Lepisosteus oculatus: one gene and its partner. The protein of the gene in region 1 purifies or fractionates together with the protein of each later gene. This does not show direct contact. Links are inferred from orthologs where the notes say so. Each region holds a gene or a part of one and is shown in the gene's direction. Other genes may lie near its edges. The genes, in order: sec31a and scyl1.

What was found.
Region 2: the proteins of sec31a (region 1) and scyl1 purify together in Homo sapiens (affinity purification with mass spectrometry; 3 studies listed by BioGRID and IntAct, counting the BioPlex papers as one, with this or other methods). This does not show direct contact. The link is inferred for Lepisosteus oculatus from reciprocal best matches to the Homo sapiens genes SEC31A and SCYL1.

The regions. Positions count from the first base shown.
Region 1 is NC_090698.1:27,495,373-27,503,420, reverse strand, and holds the start of sec31a (protein transport protein Sec31A), read left to right. Parts: upstream 1-4,950; 5' UTR 4,951-5,198; intron 5,199-8,048. UniProt on the Homo sapiens protein: Component of the coat protein complex II (COPII) which promotes the formation of transport vesicles from the endoplasmic reticulum (ER).
Region 2 is NC_090713.1:21,128,631-21,136,715, reverse strand, and holds the start of scyl1 (N-terminal kinase-like protein), read left to right. Parts: upstream 1-5,063; 5' UTR 5,064-5,139; coding exon 5,140-5,247; intron 5,248-7,778; coding exon 7,779-7,919; intron 7,920-8,014; coding exon 8,015-8,085. UniProt on the Homo sapiens protein: Regulates COPI-mediated retrograde protein traffic at the interface between the Golgi apparatus and the endoplasmic reticulum. Involved in the maintenance of the Golgi apparatus morphology.

The DNA.
Region 1 (8,048 bases):
GTGTGAAAGTGTGCAGATAGGACTTTGCTCTCTGCAATACTGTTAAGAGCACAGGACAACACTACGTTTTAAGCAAGACACACAGTCCAGTCCGTAACTCTGCTGTATGATGTTATATTTCTTGAATATGTATGAATACTCTTCTGAATGATGAATATGTTATGAATACATAAGAAGGTATGTTTATGACACCGGATTTATTGTCGTTTGGCAATTACCAAACCCAGAACAGCCCAGAAAGAGGCTATTTTAAAGGGGAGTTGTATTATATATCTTACATTTTTGTGAGCTTGTTTGCGGCTCTCAAGCTCCTTGGATTGTTGCAGATCCAGACTTTGCAATTTGTGTGTAATTTAGTTTAACTCTTTAACAAGTCTATTCCGTATTATTACAAGCTCGTTGCCAATAACCTACTGACTAGTAATCTTCTCCATATCTCACTGTCGTCACTTGACAATAAAGCAACTAGTAAAAAAAGAATTAACACCCTTTTTCAAAACATGCTTTACCTTCTCGACGATTGTACAATTTAATGCACTCTCGGGTAATACAAATCTCTTTACCAGTTGTGTGAAGTTCAAACATTATGTGTGACCACTATTGTTTAAACAAGCAGGTTAAATATATTGTGGGGGGGGGAGACACTTCCGTATATTTCAACAGGTTGAACACCTGCATCATCGCTAAACTGTATTTCCAGACCGGAAGTAGAAAACTCCCAAGCAACCACGCGTATTGTCCACATTTTCTTTACGTCATTGGCGTCTTTTTACGACCTACCCATACTGCCCCGCGGAGCTCATATAAAACCCCTAAATTGTGAGCGTTAGCTCCTTTTTGATGCTGGGGTGAGAGGAACAAAGTAGAAGACGATGTGGAAAGCTGATCCTAGGGGTGGCACATGTGGTGTGCTGTGCAATGCTGGCGTATGCACAAAAGATTATTTCAACGATGTGAGACAAAAAAGAAGACGCGTGGAGGAGAAGGGAGCACGGAGTAAGTTACAGCAAGTCGGGTTGCGGTAGGGGTCGGCAAAATTATAGTTATCTGAGCAATATGTTTGCACCCTTTCCTCTGGTTATGTACTTAATTAGCGCAATAATGATTACGATGATACCCAATGTCGCCTGTGTCCGATGATTTTAAACTCTTTTCTGCTGTTCACATCATGAAGCATTGTGATTACGATTTATCTAGTTATATGAGGACACGGGCTGACTTCGGTTTCTTACCGCGCCTATTTAGGCGACACGAAAATCTGGCCTGACTTAGTTGTCGTTCTTATTAACCGATTCCACTTGGTGAAGGATCTTGTCTGTAAGAGTTCATTCTGTGTTCCATTGTTCTGGTAAATTGTTATAGTTTCCAAGCCACGTTTTATTTGAAGTTGGCGCTCCTCCCCCAACACCAACGATGAGCTCTAAACATCTTTTGTTTCCCTTCCAGATTCCTTCGTTGCCCATTGAAAGGTCTTGATCCTTTTGGAGATGGAGTGTAATTGAAGTTTGCAAGGTAATTTACGAGCGCCTTTTTTAACAATGAAGCGCGGTATATTCCTTCACGCACGTGTAATGTCCCACAAACCTCACGCCGAACAGAACACAAAGGAATTGAGTGCTAGTGTCAGTCTAACTTGTCTGAACTTCTTTAACAGTAGTTAAGAAGGATGTAGGGCAGCATCCGTTTCTTGTAAATTCAACACAAGTCTCCCGTTACTAAATCCTAAGTGCAGGAAATGGCGGAGTCAATCGTGTGGCTCAGATGAGGGAGTACGATTAGAATGAAATCGTTTTTTTAGGGTACAGAGCACCAGCACTGTTTTACCCGAGCTCTCCCGTATCCGAGTTGAGAAAATTAATAAAGGTTTCAATTGTGCAGCTTGTTAAAACAAATCTCAGCTCGATTAAATAGACAGCTCAGATTTAGGCTTTGGTTTCCTTTAAAATATCACAGAACTGCTGAACACAATTTTTTGCCATGATTTTTAATAAGCTGTGATTCTTATTAGTTTTTCTTCTTGTTTCTCTTCCTTCAGAACAGGAGCACTTCACCCTACTGAGGTTAAAGGGACTGTGGGGCTGCACTGTCTGGTACCATTATCTCCACTCGGCAGGTGAGCCATGGAGTCACTGTACACATCACAGCCAATCTGACTGGCCCAGTGATTATAATCAATCACTACCCATCTGACCCTCCTCTGGGGGGAGGATTAAAACTTGTATATGAGGGTGCAGTCAGCTGCTGGAAATCCTTTGTCGTGGAGGCCCCGATTAGTCATTGCGTCATAAAGGCCTCTGGAGAAAAATGTTTATTTTAAAATGTAGCAAATGTTTTTGGCTGTAGTGGCCAGATCTTGGTGCAGAAGGGCCACATAGCGGTCATCTAATTTCATTTTTAAGTACATATCTTGTAAAATGGAAAGATGGGTTAGTTTGAGATCTATAAGTGGTTTAAGAAACTTGCCATTGAGAGGACTGGCCAGTGGTGCTTATATACCCATGTGCTAGGCTCTATTACTGTGGGTGTCTTGCAGTACACCGTAAAAGGACACAAAGGACCTGGCTTCTACCAAATGCTAAGTGTACACTAAGCGAGGCCACAAATGCTAACTGATGGCAGTATTTGCTATTGCATCTTGTGGCCTCCTGGCATTCTATCAAGCAGCATCTTCAAAGAAACCCATTTATTTGTCATGTATTTTGGGATTCATATTCACAGTGTTGTCTCGGGACTGTAGGACTGCATTACAGTGCATTGAGGAACTGGAATTTTAACTATTATCCTTCATGCACACGCCTAATAGTTGGAAAATCTCTCAGCCGGGTTTTCATGTTGAGCCCAGTGAAGGAAGCCTTCCACAGATGGTGTCTTGCTGGTGACCATGAGGTCAATCTGGCAGTGCAGGGGGGGGGATCAGGGACGAGCCAACAATCTTACAAGTGTGTCCATAGCCTTGTGTGGAAATGGAAGGAGTCTTCAGTCTACATCTCGCAGAACTAAAATATCAATTCCTAATGGGAGGCAATGAAGTCCGTTGAATGTGTTGGTGATCTTGACATTCTTATCTTTGCAGTGTTCCTGGGGATTACAGAGGAGTCTACACGAATGCTCTAGACCTGCTTTTGCCTGGTTTGAAGACCAGCTGCTTCTGATCTTGTGGGGAATCCTCTCATTTGCAAATGTGGGGGGCCATCTTGACCAATTAACCATGAAAAAACAATAGGCTTCTCACATCCAAGCCCTTTTTTTCATGGAAGCCGGAATATCGGCTTCAACATGGCATAGGGAACAAGCCAACCAGTCCTCAACCCATCGGCCATAAACTTGTGTTGCAGACATTTCAACAACCATGTAAAACAAGAGCCCTGGTTTTGGTTTATTAGAAGCTGTTTTCAGAGAAGTATGTGTGTAGAGACGAAATCAATTTTAGGGTGTTGCAGATAAGGTCACATTAATGTAAAAATGAGATTTCAAACATTATCCAGGAATTCTTATATGGCTTTATATATATATATGTGGAGCCTTTTGGTTCTCACACTAGTTATTTTACCACAAGAGTTAAGTTCTTGTAAATTCTGGTAATATTCCAGGCTTACTCTGAAGCCTTAATTCTTAAGTGTAATGTAATTTTGTGCCAAATAAATATCTTTAATGAAACATGACTGCAGTTCTTTGAATTTCTTGCCTCAAGCCAATGTCTTATTGGGTAACCAAACACTACGTGTTCTGTGCGTTTATAGCTATCAAAATGGATCTGGATATCTGGGTACAAGTCTTTTCCACATTAATGATGTCTTGATGTGAGCCAAGTGTGCACATTTTGGAATTAACCATGAGCAAATGCTGATCACCTGGCCTCACGTAGACCAAGAGATCATTCAGTATTGGTTTATATTCTGTGGAATTTACAGGGCATCTTTTTTTTTTAGAAGGGTCTGAAACAATGTAGGTTTAGAAACAAGTAGAGGGTTATTACAGGCTGAAACATTTCTGCTGTGGAGCCTTCTTCAGGTGTGTCCCAAGCTGAAATGTTTTTCCTTTTTTCAGCATGGAATAAACCTTTACATGTTCCTTTGCAGGTCATGCAGCTACCCACTTGAACTACATAGGTTTAGTTTGTCTAAAGCCTCCCAAGAACCTTTTTAAAGAGATTGTGCTGAGTTGGGAGACAGATTAATTGAAAAGTAGTTATCCTAGCAATGCTGCTTCAGCAGCAAACCTGTAAAACAATGCCCCCTTTCATAGACCTAGTGGAGGCAAAAGATTACATGAAAACTATAGTTTGATAGCGTGTTGCAGTGGATTTCCTGTTAAGGTAATGAAAACATGTTTGGGAGCTGCTTCAGAGCATTTGGATTGTTAAAGTAAACCAAACATGATTAATTGAAATAACATCTTTAAATAATGTACTTTAATTGTTGAGTGAACGTTTTCCATAAGATTGATATGATTTTACATCCAATTTAATTTTGAGAATTGAAATGAGTGAAGAAAAATGAAAAAATCTCCAGGGTTTTAGGCTTTAATTTATTCTGACATGCATAAATGGATTATAAACATCTTTACAGAACAACGTGGAAAAGGTGAGATCATTTTTTGTGACATTACATTCCTGCTGGAATATAATCATTAAGTTATTGCAAATATATATTTAAACCATGTTTTTCTAATTTTTTGTTTCTCCCCTTCTGAAAAGTACCAAAAAATACGTGGTATTTTACAATTAAGGTTTTAGTAAATGGCGTCGCAAAAGATGCATCCATGCGATAATATTTTAGAAATAAAAAGTGAATGAAAAAAAGATTAAATTATACAGGCATTTTCTATTTGTGCAATTCTGATTGTTGCAAACCTATTAACTTCATGTGTCGGTCCCCGAGCAAGGACCGTCTTGAACCCTGGGAGAGAGATCCGCGTTCTCCTCCGCCGGCTGCGAGAGCACCGTCCTGCTCCGCTCGCCGGAAGTGCTCAGTGTGAGGGGTGGAGAGAGGATTGCCACGTTGATGGGGACGTGGACTTTGTTGAGTCGCAGCCGTAAACCTGCAGCCGGGACCAGAAATAATAAACCCCGTAACAACCAGGAAAGGGAACCTGAAGGATAAAGGGGGGAAATATACGATTTAAAGTGGATCAAGAGCAGGCTGACTTCTGATATTTACTTTTTTTATTTTAAGCAATCAACGTACTGTGCACGGAAGGTAAGGGGACTTTCGTGGAAGATATTCCACTTATTTGTATTACTGCTCGGTACCACTATACCACCAGCCTTCATTCAGGGAGAACACTGAATTTGTTGATCTGCATCCTAGGCCTCAATGCATTCAGGTCTCACAGCTGCAACGCCGGGCACCAGTGAATATTACAAATCCACTCTCGGTTTTACGTGTATGCTTTGCAAGTATTCCTCCGGTTACGCGACGTAAAACCGTATTTTTGGACGCAGCTTCATGCTGCCCCGCAGTTTCCTGTCGACTTTGGTCTTTCCGTTTCATTCATCTAAAAAAGGTAAAAGTTTGCATGAGTGGCGTTTTGGAGCTGTGGTTTTCTGTTCAGCATTAATGTGCTGCTTTACGAAAACAATTTGTGTTTACAGTATTACCCCCCCCAGCGAATCACTGGGAAAAAAAACAGTGCTTGTTGGCACAGATCTATGAATTAGACCAGTCGTAAAACTTCATTTTTTTAACAGATTAAACGTTGCTCTTTAAAAGAAACGCGTTTTTAAAAGGATCAAGGAAATCGCTTACTGTTGTTTTCATATTTATATGTTTTACCACAGAAACGGCAATTCGGTGCCAAAACGCTGTGGCTAGTTATCTATTGAGCCTTTGCCCTCTTGTGTATCGCTGCATACGGTTCACAGACTGTGGCCAATGAGAGTGTAGAATAAAACATTTTTTAATACAATTTCGACCTCGTTATGGTCTTTGTTTGAATATTTGTAATTTCACAAATAGTAATTCCTATTCATAATTACATTTTAATCGCACTTAAATTTAAGTCATTTAAAAAAGAATTATTGCATTTCACTGTGGTGAAATATTTAGGCGTGGTGAGTCTTTTTCTCTGTAAATGGCTAATTTTAAGTATAAACAATGTTTTAACAATAGGTTTAATCATATAAATGTTAATTCTCTTCCCTAACTAGAACTCCCTGGGACTGAGAAGATGTAGTACATGATTTAAAGATTTATATGACATAAGAGTTCTTTCTTATGACCTGTTTGAAAAAATGTGTCTTAAAAGTTAATGGAGAAGAATTTAAAAGTGTGAGAACTAGTTGGGATGAGAATCTTACAAAACTGCCCTAAAATTTCGTATTTAATAAATTGTTGTGCTCTGGCCTTTACGAAAACCATATTAGACCTGCTGCGTATGCAGTTCTGGGTTTCCAGCCAAGTCTTCTCAGTTATGGCATTAGCCAGTGATTTGCAAATAAAGCCATCTGAGAGGAGAGTTAGTGATTCTGGGTTACTTATAATTAAGAGTGTTGCGGTTGGCAGAGTTATCATCCTACTATACATATCATACTACTGACTTCAGGCTACCAACTAGGTTCATTGTGCAATTTTTGATTACGTCACATTGCTAAAATATGGTATAATCAGCCTTAAAAGCACATATATTGTCTGGGTTGAGGGTCCCATTTTCCCCTGTATGCTTTGTACGTATTGCATCCACATTTTAGCCAATGAATGATTATTCCCAAACACACTATAAGGTTCTTTTACTTAATGGCATGTTGGTGAGTGGGGTAGGTCTGACGTTGGACCTGTGGGTTTGTGCCTGTTGGGAAGGACTTGCACATGCTGGTCTTTCTGTTGTGTGACCTCCTCTTCTTGTTCTCGAGTGGATGTGAGCCAGAGTGGGCAGGCTATATTTGAACTGGAGTCCTGATAACCCTGATGTGACCTCATTAACTTGAATTCGTATAGGGAGCTGATGTCTCATCTAGTGCCTTAGTTTCTTCTGTGCAGGTCATTTGACTTGTTAGGTCTCAGCATGAGGTCTAACTGTTTCTTCAAAACTTTGTCATTAGGTGCTTTTGGCAAAGTTAAAGGTCACTGATGTATTCTAATATTTCTCCTTTAAACCTCAGCATTGTCCAAAATGTGTTTCTGTGACATTCAAATTAACTCAGTCAAATTGTTTAAAAATGGTGCAGTTAATTATTTCTCTAATTAGTGATTTGTTTTTGCCCCTTGGGCAACTACAGCTCTTTACTGAGTTTTGCTCTCAGCATCACTGTCTCTCATTTAAAAACATCAAGGCTGATTTTAATTGTTTTCTGCTGACATCTGTGATTACAGTAATACCCGAATTACAACCGAGAAGGGTTACCGTTTTAACTTATAATTTATGTCTCCAAGCCCATTCATGGCTTGGCTCTTGTGTTTTATGATCTATGCATTGCTGTGTGAAAATTAACTTGCAGGTTATTATTAATGTTTGTAAAAATCTATTATGCAATACTGTTGTAAATGCTAAAATCCATTTTTGTACTACTTCATTCTAAAGTTCCTTTTGCATTTTCCATTAAATAACTTTTTAGAAATTGATTATGTTTTAAAAAAGGGAGCTAAATGTAAATAAGCAGATTATTATTTATTATATTTTTCTTTGTAAGCTGTAGTGTCTGTTGATAAAATGGGGCCTGTGCATCATTAGAAAGCTCCACCTGATGACCTGCAGGTCTGAACTTGTCCTCAGAGTTTTCTGTGGACTTTGGTGGCAACATGAAAAACACTCGCACAAAAAATAGTGTTTATTTTGGAATATCTTTCCAACAGGACCACGGAACTAAAATTACCACTGATGGCATAAGCATTGTTATCCTGTATCTTGGAGGCAGACAGTCCTTGAGTACAAGATTCCTGCAGATTTTAGATTTATCTTCCAAAAATGCTTGAATAACATCTTGAAAATGCAGATTTCATGCCTACTAAATTAGCTGAATTAAGTTCTGTGATGTTTTTACTCCTTCACGGACCGTAATCAAATCGTTTTTGATGACCACACATTACTTTAAACATGGTTATTGATAAGTT
Region 2 (8,085 bases), on another chromosome or scaffold:
TTACATTTAGGCTCAGGCCTGGCACTGTTGTTAAGGGGGAGGGGGGGGTGGGCACAACAAATCTTGTTTCTTTCCAGATGTTCATCTTTAGTGTACACACACCTGCCCAGCAGTGAGGCACCAGTGAATCTGGCTCCGCCAGCGTAGAGGGGCCCGGCTCTTCTCTCCTGTTTCTCAGTCACTTTAACAGGTCAAACCTCCCCCCCGGATGGAAAATCTTGACTTACTGGCATAAGCGACTCCTAACTTGGAAAACGGCCACTGGAGCAGCACGTGCTTTTGGGGAGGGGTGTTCGGGTTGCTTTTCAGATGTTTACTCTTCAGTTCGATGACTTTTCCTGGCTCCTACTTAAGCTTGAGGACAAGGCTTTGGAGAGTAAGTTAATCCAACACCAAAACTGATATTACACAGACCTTTCAGAGCCTCAAATGCCCCTAGGGCTAGACCTGGGTGTACTACCTGGTCGAATGTCTTCCATTAAAATAGGGCATTTTAAGTAGTTTAGTAGGAATACATTAGAGCTAGTTTTGAGGCTCCAGAGTTAAGTGGGGATATCCTGCACACATAAGATAATTTCAGATTAGAAGTGCATTAAATAAACTCGACTTGGCAGTACAGTAAGCTGAGATCAAATCGGCGAAGCAGTTTTGAGGTTCTAATGGATGGGGTGGGGGGGCTATAAAGTGGTTCTTTAGTTTTTTTTCCCAACAGCTCTACGTTTTGAGAGGTCACCCAGCAACATACCAACCCCCTTAAAGTGTTTGACCAAGACGCACAGACCCGTGCAGCAACGGGTTCTCCTGGTAAACCATGCAGTTCGCTCTGGTGCGCACGCGCGTGCGGCGCTGATGTTCTCTGTGGGTGCTTGTTCTGTCTCTCTTTAAGAAAAAGAAACACGAAAACGGCGGTCGGAAGACCCGTTGGCCTCTCCAGTCGTAAGACAGTCCTTCGCTTTTTCGTTTCGATTTTTTCAAATACATTTCGGGGGTTCGGTGGGGAATGGGGGACGGCAACCCTTCTCTGTAGTTGTTGCAGGCTCCGTGCGAGGTACGCAGGGACCGTAGGCGAAGCAGCTTTATCCAAGGGTTTTTCTTTTCCTGGGGGAACAAGCTCTTGTTCCTCCAGGTTTTGCTTTTTCTCCTTTTAACGAACGCAAAAAAAGCAAAAGGCGCCGGTCGTGGGGCTCCCGGTCTCCGGGACGGGGTTCGACTCCCCGCGGTGTCTCTGCTGCGCCAAGACGCTTCAGCTCTCGGCCTGTTGGTCTCTGTGCCAGAGAGGGTCCTCCGGGCCGAGGGTCGTTCTCCCCCTTGTGTAAAGCTGCAGTGATCGAGTCTCAATGGAGGGTTTTTCTCTTTCCCTGGGGGAACAAAAACCCTGCGTCTCTGTTCCCCCAGGTTTTGCTTTTCTCCCTTTTGATTGGCTTTTTTTTTTAAAAAGCAAAAGACTCCAGTGGTGGCACTCCTGGTCTCCAGGGTGGGGTCCGACTCCCTGAGGGGTCCTTGCTTTGAATGGGATGATCTGTATCCCGGTTTAAATTGAATTTCATAGGAGTAACGGTCCAATCCCAGCCTGTATGGGTTGACCACCAGTGGGGAATAGAGGTGTGTATGAAACTAGGTCAAACCTAGCCCAAATACCTCCATTCCTCTCGGGGCGGGGGGTGAGATCACAACTCCAGGATTTCTCAGGATCTGGTTTCATTTGTACTACTGCACTATAAACCAGACAGAACTCCGGCGTTTACTACTGCGTGCTTGATGTGGAACTTGCTAACCCAATCGACACTAGTTGCGCCCCGGGAGCGGTTCATAATTCACGATCCCCTGTTTGAGCACATGAACTCGGCCCGTTTCAGTCGACACGGTGCTGTTGCAGAAGACGCCTGCCATCCTGGACCTGCGGATTCGCCGTCTGCTCTTGAGCTGCTCGCCTGCTTTGGTGTGCACTTTTGTGGAGTGTTTTTTTTTTTAGTGTGGCCCACGTGACTTGGGGGGGTGTCTGTTGGACTCGAGCTTGTCCGAGACCAGTTAGGAGTGTGCCCTTGAAACGCCCTCGGCGAGTACTGAAGTCGCTGCTGGGCGGGCAGCACGTCTTGCCTTTTCCTCAGCTGAGGATGGGCTGTGCTCCCTCTCCCCTGTGGGAGAAATGGAGACGGATGCACTGTGACAAGTATTCTGGGTTTGGAATAACATGCTTGCACAAAATAACTATTGAGCTGACTGAACAGTACATGATCTGTCCCAGCCTGAGGAATAGACAGTGAGCCCGTCTCTCAATAATAGTGTGTGATCTCCTGTCCCAGCCTGAGGAACAGACAGTGAGCCTGTCTCTCAATAATAATAATACAGTGTGTGATCTCCTGTCCCAGCCTGAGGAACAGACAGTGAGCCCGTCTCTCAATAATAATAATACAGTGTGTGATCTCCTGTCCCAGCCTGAGGAACAGACAGTGAGCCTGTCTCTCAATAATAATAATAGTGTGTGATCTCCTGTCCCAGCCTGAGGAACAGACAGGGAGCCGGTTTAATGTTCTGTGGTGTGTGTTAATGCCAATGATGCATTTGTATTGTAAATGTAAGTAGATGCTGTAGTGACTGTGCTTTGGCAACACTTTTTACCAATAAAGCAGTTTGAATCTGTGAACCCAGTATCTGCAGAGTCCCACTAACCCCATCAGTCTCGACTCCTCTGCAGGGTTCCTCTTGAAGTATTGTATTGCAACGTGTAAAAGATAAACTTGTCATTTTGGTAGCAGTGATGCATTGATCGCCACTAACCAGCAACCCCCGCATTCCACATTTTACCACCACGAAAGCCAGCCCAATCTACAACCAGCTCATCTTCAACGACACAAGGGGAGAAATCCGGTTTGCTCCTTTGGAGTAGATTTCTTTAATGCGAAAGGGTGTGTTTTCTGAAGTCTTTGTGACTTTTCATTCCTCCTGGTCTGTTTGCTCTGATCCACCTGCGTGTAAGATGCATGGCCATACCTAATCGAGACTCGGGGGGGTTTCTCGCTGGGTGCCGGTTGGAACCTTTGGGTACTGGGGGCTGCCCCTAAACCAGGGTACTGCACGTGGTACCCCTCACTGGTTCACACCTTCAGCTCGGGTCCGTTTAGTGCCAGAATATTCCTCAGGGCGTGAGAGGCGGGACTCCTGTCTGCCTCCGGTTCTTGTGACCCCCCCAGTCTGTGTTCCCCCACTGAAGTCTTCATTCTGTCACCTAATAATGGACTAATTAGACCTGTTGCTTGTTAAATTTACCAACCGCTATCCTGCTGAACTTGGAGAACTCCGTCTCTTCATTTTAAGCCTCCCATCTGAGGAGCTGTAGATCGGGTTTGGAAGTCGACGGATAACCGGGGTCACATGAACTGTGATTTGGGGGACCCCGTGTTTGTGATGTGTTCGTTTCCCCCGAGCAGCACTTAAGCCGATCAAACTTGGGGAAAAATGGCGATTTTAATAACTTGACATCAGCTGTCCCCATCAAGAGTGTTAATAAGACCCCTGTTGTCTTGGTTCCAAGGGGCTCAGCTCACTGGTTCAAAAGCGACAGACGCAACTTTCTGAGAATCAGAGAACAGTTCAGTAAAGGACTCAGCCGGGCTGAAGGGCAGCCAGTGTTGGGGGGGACCCCCAAGTCCAGAATAATGAGCCCCCTTTTCTCGTACACTGCACTATGGGGGCTGACCTCTTCGTCTGCCCTTGTCCCATTGAGACCCTGTGCGGGAGAACAGGGCGAGGGTTAAATAATTAAATTCGCTGAGGAGCAGGGATATCATCACAACAGTCGGACGGCCTTCTGCTTTCTGATGGCGTCTGGTCGCCCTCTCCTGGACAGAGACGGCAACGACACGTTTCTCCTCTTTTGGTGGCTCAACTGTTGAATAAAGACGGCAGATTGTTTACTTATCCTGAATTCCTGGAGAGATTTCAGTTCCCTGTCACCCCCCCCTAAGAAATATGCGATAGTTTTTGATACCATTCCGGAAGGTGTAGTGAGCTTGTTAAAAGCAAATCAAAGTGTTAATAGGACTGACCTCCTTTTGGGTCCTACAACTGATTTATTCTGGGATGGCGTGGAAATAAAGGATAAGAAATGTAACAATACTCACAGAAGGAATCTCTGTGTAGACCCCCATCATCCAGGTGGGGGTACACACTGCTGGGGGTGGAGGGGATCCCCATTACCTGTAAAGCGCTTTGAGTGGAGTGTCCAGAAAAGCACTATATAAGTGTAAGCAATTATTATTATTATTATTTTATTATTATTATTATTATTATCATATCCCTATTTGTTTATCTTTTTGGAATGCAATGTTTGAAAATATAAACTTAGGAGTTAGTTTGGACAACTCCTGATAGAGAGTGTGTTACAAACAAAGTTAAAGAGATATCGTTGAAAGTTGTTCATAAGTTTTATCCAGTTCAATTAGTGCTCTCTAAATCGCTCTAAAGCCTGAGCAGGGTGATCTGTGTGTTTTTTGTCGAGCTGAAGGGGAGTCTTTGGTGCAGTTATTTGTGAGGTGTCGGTTTGCGGAGGTGTGTTGGCAGGCAGTTAAAGGTGTTTTTTAGCTTGAAGGATTTTGATATTTTATTGTACTGTTTAATAGAACATTTGGAAAAAGAGCATTTTTTTTATAGTCAATTCATTAGTCATTCTGGGTAAATTTCACATCCATAAATCAAAAGGGTCTAATAATCCTCCCCTTTGTAGGTCTTTTTCAGCTCCACTTCAACTATTTAAATTCTATTTAAAAAAATTGACAAAGTAAGGAAAACGGATGATATATGTAAAAAAAAAATACAATTTAATCACATAATTTACTTCATTACCTCAGGTTTTTTTTTTCCTGTTCGTGTTTTTTCCTCTTGTACCTGTTTTTGAGCCTCGGGTTGTAGTTGTATTTGTAAATTCTTTATACGTTTAATTAAAAAAAATAAAATTAAAAAAAATTAAAACCCGTGCGAGGCCGACATCCTGCGGGCGTGTCTCCACCTAGCGGCCGGACAGTAATATAACACGCAGGCTTAGCCTCCCCCCCTCTAGCGGTGGCGCTGCGGTACTGCACGGCAGCGCTGCAGACGAGCCCGCAGTTCATTCCGTGTTTTGATGTCGGTAGCAAAGGTGGGATGTGGTCCTTCTTCGCCCGGGATCCAGTTAAAGATTTTCAGTACGAAATCTTACCGGACACCCAGGAGCCGTCCGGAATATGGACTCTGCACCGGGGGAAACGGAAGGTAAGGCCCGGGTTTGATCTGAAACGGTGAACGGAGAGGCGGCGGCGGGGGATCGAGGCCTAGGATTTGCCGACGCCCCGGGCTCGAGTAGCGGCTGCGGCCGAGTTGGCGGTGCGGGGAGGACGGGGGGGGCTTGTATGGTTGTGGGGGGAAATTTTGCAGGTAGGTTTAGGGAGACGGGGCAAAAAAACAAAAAGGGGGGGCCAAAATGCCTATTCGCACGAACTGTCAATGACTTTTAAAAATAATCACCTGAATGTCCGCCTTTGTCCGCTCCCCTATCCGGTATAAACACGTCTGTTGTCGCCACGTCGCTGGGTGTAGAGGACTTGAGTGAGACGCTTGTTTAAACTCTCATCTCCCTTGACGTGTTAATTGGCAAAATCCTGTGTCGTGTGGGGGGGGGGGGAGACCTGAGCCTTTTATATAGGCAGGGGAAGCACAGCTGGACTGGCGTGCTGTTAATTTCTCTCCAGGCAGGACGGACCCCTCCTCCGCATCACCCCCCCCCCACCCCGGTCCAGCGGTTTCCCCCCTCGTTTATTTCAAGTGCTGGGGTCCCGCTGGACCTTGACCGGCGTTGAATCCCACTGAGTGCGGAGCTGTCGCTGCAGATGAGGAGGGCAGAATTCTTTTTTTCTTTTCCTCCTCCTGAGGTGACTTGCCAACACCACGCTTTCTGGAGCGCAGCCTGTTCCCCCTGGGCCCGATAGCAGCCGGTGTTTAGATCATCGTTCCCGGAAAGTCCGTTTAGCGGCGGGCCTTGTGTACAGAGGTTGGATCCCAATTCATTGAAGAGCTCCAGGTTTTACAGCACCATCAGGCAAGGTTTTAGTGTGGCCGGGTATGCTCCCATTACACAGCAGTCTGATCCGCTCCATCTTTTACAGTGCTGTCCATCAGAGCCCCCGCTGCACAGCAGTCTGATCCGCTCCAGGATTTACAGAGCTGTCAGTTAGACTCTCCCATTACACAGCAGACTGATCTGCTCCAGGTTTTACAGAGCTGTCAGTTAGACTCTCCCAGTGCACAGCAGTCTGATCCGCTCCATCTTTTACAGTGCTGTCCATCAGAGCCCCTACTGCACAGCAGACTGATCCGCTCCAGGTTTTACAGTGCTGTCAGTTAGACTCTCTCAGTGCACAGCAGTCTGATCCGCTCCAGGTTTTACAGAGCTGTCAGTTAGACTCTCTCAGTGCACAGCAGTCTGATCCGCTCCAGGTTTTACAGTGCTGTCAGTTAGACTCTCTCAGTGCACAGCAGTCTGATCCGCTCCAGGTTTTACAGAGCTGTCAGTTAGACTCTCTCAGTGCACAGCAGTCTGATCTGCTCCAGGTTTTACAGTGCTGTCAGTTAGACTCTCCCAGTGCACAGCAGACTGATCCGCTCCATCTTTTACAGTGCTGTCAGTTAGACTCTCCCAGTGCACAGCAGACTGATCCGCTCCATCTTTTACAGTGCTGTCAGTTAGACTCTCCCAGTGCACAGCAGACTGATCCGCTCCATCTTTTACAGTGCTGTCAGTTAGACTCTCCCAGTGCACAGCAGACTGATCCGCTCCAGGTTTTACAGAGCTGTCAGTTAGACTCTCTCAGTGCACAGCAGTCTGATCTGCTCCAGGTTTTACAGAGCTGTCAGTTAGACTCTCCCAGTGCACAGCAGTCTGATCTGCTCCAGGTTTTAGAGAGCCGTCAGTTAGACTCTCCCAGTGCACAGCAGTCTGATCTGCTCCATCTTTTACAGTGCTGTCAGTTAGACTCTCCCAGTGCACAGCAGACTGATCCGCTCCAGGTTTTACGGAGCCGTCAGTTAGACTCTCTCAGTGCACAGCAGTCTGATCTGCTCCAGGTTTTACAGAGCTGTCAGTTAGACTCTCCCAGTGCACAGCAGTCTGATCTGCTCCAGGTTTTACGGAGCCGTCAGTTAGACTCTCCCAGTGCACAGCAGACTGATCCGCTCCAGGTTTTACAGAGCTGTCAGTTAGACTCTCCCAGTGCACAGCAGACTGATCCGCTCCAGGTTTTACGGAGCCGTCAGTTAGACTCTCCCAGTGCACAGCAGACTGATCCGCTCCAGGTTTTCCAGCCCAGCTCAGTGGAGGTCATTCCGGTGGTTCACACTGATTGTGAGTCAGGCTGGGCGGCACGGGCACAGCCCTGGGCTCGCTTGCGGACCCTGGGGTGCTGTCTGTGTGGAGTTTGCATGCCCCTCACGTATTCACATGGGTTTCTTCTGGGTGCTCCGATTTCCAAAGACTTCTGGGGAAAACGGACCCTGGGGTGGGAGTGTGTGGGTGTCCCGTGACGGACTGGCGTCCCGTCCAGGGCGTACCCCGCCTTGCGCCTGTTGCTTGCTGGGATAGACTCCAGCTCCCCCACAGCCCTCAACTGCATACAGGGGTTCGAAAATGCCTGGGTGGGCGAATCGTGCTCACTGTGCCGTTCGGAGCAGGCTGGGGCTCAGCTCAGGCGATGCGGCTGTGACCCCTCCCCCCCTCCACCCCAACCCGTCTCTGTGTCTCCCCCGCACAGGCGACGGGCGAGCTGGTCTCGGTGTTCGCCTTCGAGGTGAAGTCGGGTTCGGACGAGCAGACGGCGCTGGCGAAGGCGGCCTTTAAGAGGACGAAGACCCTCCGCCACCCGAACATCCTGGCCTTCGTGGACGGCCTGGAGGTAAGGGCCGGGGCTCGGGGCTCGGGGCGCCCCCTACCCCCCCGTCCCCGCGGCGCCCCGCGGTGCCCTGACGCCCTCTCGCCCTGTGCCCGCAGACGGAGAGGTGCCTGTACGTGGTGACGGAGCCGGTGACGCCCCTGGCTGTCCACCTCAAGGCCCAGGCGGA